2 linked regions of the Saccharomyces cerevisiae S288C genome follow. Changing the gene in region 2 together with the main gene of any one other region gives a genetic interaction. Each region holds a gene or a part of one and is shown on either strand. Other genes may lie near its edges. The genes, in order: YOL131W and YKL162C.

Region 1 (3,166 bases), on a different chromosome or scaffold from region 2:
TTTATCTCGTTAGTAACTCGGGGTAGGAATAAGACATCCACAAAGGTGACAGAACAAAATCATCCTAGCCTTGTTCATAATCTACCTCTATATAGCCGCTAAAAAATTAGTAGTATTTTGACTCTTTAAGAGCACATTTATTATCAGGCTGCTTTTACATACTTCTTTTGTTTAAAACATTTAAAGACGATCACTGCCCTTCCAAAGGACAAATATATATACACAAACACTAGGCCAAAAGTTCACTTATAATAATTTAGTGGTAATTATGTTGGGTAAAGAAATTGCCAATAGTCTTTTTTTTCCGTATTGTAAGGTGAGACTGAGGTAGCGGCACAAAAAAACGACACATAATAGGATACTGAGTAAAGCAGTATTAAAATAAAAAAATATATTTTACCTCGAACGCTACAAATAAAGCAGAAAAGAACAAAATCGTGAGCATGATGGTTTTTTCGAGCACCTTTATTTTTCTAATTTTGGAGTTAGTTGTACTGTGTGAAGCTTCAGTCCACACCATTCAAATTAAGGACAAGCATTTCGTTGACACAGTGACTGGAAAACCATTCTTCATCAAAGGTGTGGATTATCAGCCAGGAGGCTCTTCCGACGTTAGTGAAAAGCAGGATCCGTTATCCAATCCAGATGCATGCGCTCGTGATATTTTATTATTTCAAGAATTGGGAATAAACACAGTAAGAATTTATTCTATAAACCCGGACCTGAACCATGATGCGTGCATGACTATGCTCGCAATGGCAGGTATCTATCTTATATTGGATGTCAATTCCCCATTGCAAAACCAGCACTTAAACAGATATGAACCTTGGACTACCTATAATGAAGTTTATTTAGAACACGTTTTCAAGGTTGTCGAACAATTTTCTCATTACAATAATACTTTAGGATTTTTTGCTGGGAATGAAATTGTAAACGACAAAAGATCAGCACAATATTCTCCTGCCTATGTCAAGGAGTTGATTGGAACTATGAAGAATTACATAAGCGCACACTCGCCCAGAACAATTCCGGTAGGTTACTCTGCTGCAGATGACCTGAACTATAGGGTATCACTGTCCGAATATTTGGAGTGTAAAGATGATGATAAGCCAGAGAATAGCGTTGATTTTTACGGAGTTAACTCCTACCAATGGTGTGGCCAACAAACTATGCAAACTTCAGGGTACGATACATTGGTGGATGCTTACAGGAGCTATTCCAAGCCAGTTTTTTTTTCAGAATTTGGATGCAATAAAGTATTGCCAAGGCAATTCCAGGAAATAGGTTATTTGTTTTCTGAGGAGATGTATTCAGTATTCTGTGGAGGTCTGGTTTACGAATTTTCACAGGAGGATAATAATTATGGGTTAGTTGAATATCAAGAAGATGATTCAGTACAGCTCTTAGCAGATTTTGAGAAGCTTAAATCGCACTACCAAAACATTGAGTTTCCTTCTATGAAGACTTTAAAGGAAACTGTTCAGATGGAGGAGACGCCATCATGTGCGGAAGATTATGAAAATTTGAAGATTGAATCTAAAATTGCTAAAAATTTAGGAAGTTCTTTGATAAAAAAAGGCGTGAAAGTTGAAAAAGGCAAATACATAGATATTCACGAGGATCAGCTGTCCACCAATGTCACGATTTTAGACAAGCATGGTGACAGATGGAATGGGCCCAAAAAGATTGAAATTAGGCAAAGCCTGACATTGGCAGACCTGGAAGGAGAAGAACAAGAAGACGCAGATGAAGACAAAGATGATTTAAAACGAAAACACCGGAATTCTGCCTCTATTTCCGGCCCATTGTTACCTCTTGGGTTGTGTTTGCTTTTTTTTACTTTTAGTTTATTTTTTTAGACTTTAATGTCGTTCTCCCTTTTTAAAGAGTAAATACATATTTAAAAAAGTGACTATGGCTATTGCTAAACGTGATAAAAATCAGAGCCTATAACACTCTCTGAAATAACGCTATGCAGGAATTTCCAGTTAAGTTCTTCTTGGGGTGACTTCTTTACTCGGTATGATATGTGTTTTATATGCACAGTACGAGTCCATTAGGGTAAATTAGTGGCCGAGAAACTTTTGCCGCCGAGCTTTTAAGTATCCTTTTGCCACTTCTTATTTAGATAAAGACCTGGCAGTAGTAGTCGTAGAAGATAAGATAGACAGAGAATGAATACTAATAAGATAGCACAAGACGAAGTCCAAGATAAGGTTTTGCAAAGAGCAGAACTAGCACATTCTGTATGGAACTTAAGGTTCAACCTCAGTAAAGTTGCCAAACGGATTCGCATGGAAACAAAGGTATTTCCAGAGATAAAGATAAATGACGCGCAATCACAGTTAGAGCGATCTAGGTGTAGAATATTTAGCCCTGACCTGGAGGAAGAACATGTGCCCTTGATTCAAGGCTTTAAATGTTTGGATTCACCCCCTCCCGTTCCACCAAGCTCATCGCAGGGGGAGGATGAAGAGAACACGGTAGATTCGCAATACTAGGAAATTAGAACCGAATCAAAATAGTTCCGATCCTAACTTTTCTACTAATCTTTGAGATTTTATCTCATTAACTCTTTGACCAAGCTATGAAATGCGTAAGATGAACTTTTGTTTGAGAGTGTTAAGTATTTAGGCGTCTACGCTATGATAGCCTCACTCTAGGACGACTGCTTTTTTGGAACAACTTGTTGTTCTCCGATGGTATATTGTGTGTTTATGTATTGTTCTACGTACTCCTCCGTCTCTTTTTCGAGGGCAACGCTTTGAACTAGTATTTTCCGTTATAGTATGTCCCCCCTATATGCAACCCCTTGAATGGACGAATCTCTAAAATATACAACCTTTTCCTCTATAGGAAACAAGTAGGGTCTTCTACGCTAAGGATTACATAACGCATGTATCAAAAACTGATTTTAATTGATTAATTTCAAAATGTCAGCGTAGGTTCACCTAGACTTGTTTTATAGCTCCATTCAACTGGCGGTAGACACAACTAAAGCCAAAAATTGCCTAAAAATTTCAGTACTCTGGCAGCATCTACTCATTTAATTGCCGTAATACATGGGACTCAATGATCCTTAATATGCTAAATGCTACCCCTCCTTTTTTCTTTTTTATTCCTCATAAAATTGCAAATATCGCAAGCACGTTTTTACTCAGCCCGT
Region 2 (3,823 bases):
CCAGTGGCTTTTTGTCGCACCGTTTAGGTTCGCGTTAGCAAGATGGAAAAAAAAGAACGCGAATCATGTATTGACGTATGACGTATTAGGCAATTTACAAGATTAAACTTAAATTTGCGACGGAGTTTTGAAGTAGAACGAACACCTTACTCATCCGCAACAGGAAATTTTCACGCAGAACGTGCCTAAGAAAAAAAAATCATATGCGTTTACAGGCACAAATGAAGAAAATGACCGGATATGGATATAAGCTTATGGAAGAAATTGCTCCTATTGAGTTAAGAATATGCGAGCGAGACCTGCATAAGGCTAATTATAACTCTTCAACCCAAATTTGTCTTTCTCTTCACACCCATCTCTTATAGTCCCATATATTCATATGAAAGTTCAATGCTTAGACTCAGTGTGTACTTATGATGTCGTTGAAGGCTATTTGGTCTACTGAAAATCCTACCTCGTACGAATACCCTTATAGTATTATTTAAATATGGGGTTACTATTCGCATTCGTTAGAGTGGTGGGAAATTGATATCTTGTTTGGGAGTTGCGAAACAAAAGAGGAGAAGATATGCGCGCTATGTTTTTCTTAAAAGAATGCCTACTGCCTATGAAATGAATATACTAAACGTAAAAGTGTAGATAATAGAAACAAAGATTAAGGTCGCTTACTGTAAAAAACGTCTTCATTTTAATTCAACGAAATAAAAGAAATCACGTGGAGTGTAGCACCGCCAAAGAGCTATTTTTTATGTCTTCTAGTTGAGGCCTATTTCCATTCTGCGACGAAAGTGTGCTTCTCTCACTTGGGCTAATCCATTTTTCAACAAAATCAGCAACGTCTTCGACTTCGCAGCTACTAGAAGAACTGTTAATACCATTATAAATGTTCTGTAACTGTAAGAAGTCCGTCATGAAGCATATTCTTCCACTCCGTTTGTCTGAAAATATTGAATCCGAATATGGCTGTACTATCTGGCTAGATCCCGTCGGCCGTGGGCTTATTAAACTCTTTAATAACGATATTATTGTTGGGCTCGATCTTTGCGGGGTGTCTACAATGAAAAGTCTATGTTCTGGAATATTATTCTTGATTGTCATCAATATCTCAATTAATTTAGTGGGGATATAAAGTTCTTTACCAGGACTTACATGGGATCGATCATTGAACATTTGTTCTAATGCAAGTTCACATGAGTAGTCAATGGCGCTATCAAAGCTCTTGGATTTTTGTCCATTCTTATTGATATCCACAAAGCACTGTTGCCACCCTTTGTCATCTGAAGAGTACCTTACTAAATCGTGGGTTGTGTATTTTATAACATCATTAAGCATCAAAATTTGGATTGGATCCTCTATGTGAAATTTTTTCTGTAAAAAATATGGGGAAACCGGATAATCTTGTACCAAACTGACTGATCCAGGTATTCCGTCTAAGAGCTTCGAAGGTATTTTGTCACACTTGTATAGAGGTACCATGAAATATTTTATTTTCTGGAACATGTTATCAGATAAAGTAGACTTGAGATATGACATTAAATTTTTGCAAATCTGAATTGCTTGGGGTAAATCCGTGTAAATATTCACAATGTTAAGATCGTAATAAGGATAGTCATTTAATTTGTAATTAACCAGTAGCCATTTGGCAAGGCATTTGCTAAATTGTGGCTCACAGTCAAGAATGTTATCAAATGAAAAGGGTTCTTCTTTTGCGGTTGTAGTTACAGGCTTCCTTTGCGTAAAAAAATTTTCTCTTTTCATTATGTTTGGGAAATTTTGCCACTCTATGTAATCTTTCAAAGAAATTCTCGCAGTTTGGCCTCTTCTTATCCCATTTGTAGAGAGTAATTGCTCGAAAGTAAACAGTGGGTAATCAGATTTCAGATGAACTTGAATTCTCAAGGGGTGTAATCTTTTCATCATTCAATCCCGCCAAAAGCACCTTTAAATGATATCAACTTTTTTGTGAAAATATTAGTAAGCTATTTAAAACGGGAAAGAAAACTTGAGAGAGGACTGACGAGGGAATCATGTTTATATTCGGATCATCGCGAATCTACGCAATGGTGTATCCTACTTTCTCACATTTTGGTTTTTCCCGCTTTCGGAAGGAACTGCAAAACCGCCGAGAGGACTTTCTCTTTTTGCAATATTTGAAGTATATACCAATAATTAAGAAGGTGAACAGGCATTTTACATATTCATTATAGATAGTGTATGTGCGCATCTATTAGTTGTGGTTTTCTGCTACAAAAATTTATCGTCTAAATAATTCAAGTTCTTTTTCTAGGTCGAAGAAAAAATCGCTGTCATCCTCATTTGTATTTTGGTTTGTACCATCATTGACATTTATATCGTGACCTGGGGGAGACGATGAAACTGGGCTCATTTTTGTTATATTTGGCTCAGTAGGTCCGTTCAGTAGTTCACTATTTTCATGCTTAGTATCTTGTTTGAAGGTGTTTTCCTTTTAGTTAACACCCTGAAATGAATTAGAGCTTATTCCCATAAGGTTTTGATATGGCTGGGTTGTAGTTAGTGATGGAAGTTGGCTTACATAGGAAAATTCAGGACTATAACTGGGTAAAACTTTCCTAGAAGGATGGACCTGTACAACTTCTTGAGGAATGGCATCCTCTAAAGATAGTGATGATGATGGGGAATCACCGCTAATAGGATGTTTTCTAACAACTTTCCTGAAATCAAATACTTCCTTTATAACTTCGTTTCCTAATTCCGCCATACTTTCGATATGCTCGAATTCGAATCTAAAGGTCTTTTGACATGAGAATTCCTCATCTATATCATGCCACATTGACAAATATGGATGCTCTAGTGCATCCTCTACAGTAATCCTTTTTTTAGGATCAAATTCTAGCATTTTCTTTAGCAATTCAAGCGCTTCTGGATTAGCACCAGGTAGTATGCTTTCAAACGATCTTCCCGGGATATTACCGAACTGAAAGATATAATTATACACCTTTTGAGAGGCAATTTCCTGCAATGTTTCCTCAGGTGGTGTTCCAAGTATTTGTAGAATATGATTCAAATGATCTACATAATCCTTCCCTTCAAACATTGGTTTCCTACCAAGTAGTTCGGCCAAGATACAGCCTGTTGACCAAATATCGACAGCTTTTGTGCATTCTTGATAATTCAGCAAAATTTCTGGTGCTTTATACCATATCGAGGTTATATAACCCTTAATGAAGCCGTCGTTAACCTTGTGGTTTTCTGAATAACTACACGATAGCCCAAAATTACAAATTTTTAGTTGGCAATCACTATTAACAAGTAAGTTTTTTGGTTTCAGGTCACAATGTAAAACATTAGCAGAATGTATGTATTTCAGAGCACACAGTATCTGATATATGAAGCTTTGAAAGTGTGCGTCTTCCAGGCGTTGTTCGGACCTTATAATTTGAGAAAGGTCACATTCCATTAGTTCTTCATATAAATAAACGCCATTTAGTGCCCCATTTGGGTAAAATACTATATCAGTATCGAAGAGCCACACTATATTTGGGTGCCCTCTTAAATGTCTTAGTAGTTTCAATTCACGAAGAGTTCTCTTGCAAGATAGTTTATTGCCAAACGCGTTTGGTATTTTTCTGATAGCCACGTGAGTTTCCTCGTTCGATTCTGTGTAAGTTGAAGAACAAATAAGGCTGTGTGAGCCCCGACCAATCTTACCTGTCAAATGAAAATGTTTATTTAGGATAAAATCTTGGCCGAATGCACGGAAAATACACCTCTCGGTGTCAGTCGCCATTTAATTGTGAATCTTTCTTCGATATCAAACTATTCCAGGCCGAATTAATCTGGC

What was found.
Region 1: mutations in YKL162C (region 2) and YOL131W together harm fitness more than expected from each alone (negative genetic interaction), as found in Saccharomyces cerevisiae (one large-scale study listed by BioGRID).

Annotation. Positions count from the first base shown.
Region 1 is NC_001147.6:70,857-74,022, forward strand, and holds YOL131W (uncharacterized protein), read left to right. Parts: upstream 1-2,174; coding exon 2,175-2,501; downstream 2,502-3,166. Other genes in the region: GAS4 (1,3-beta-glucanosyltransferase), read left to right, coding at 444-1,859.
Region 2 is NC_001143.9:146,919-150,741, forward strand, and holds YKL162C (type II protein arginine methyltransferase), read right to left. Parts: upstream 1,921-3,823; coding exon 712-1,920; downstream 1-711. Other genes in the region: putative protein kinase KDX1, read right to left, coding at 2,468-3,769. UniProt on the Saccharomyces cerevisiae protein: Arginine methyltransferase involved in the assembly or stability of mitochondrial NADH:ubiquinone oxidoreductase complex (complex I).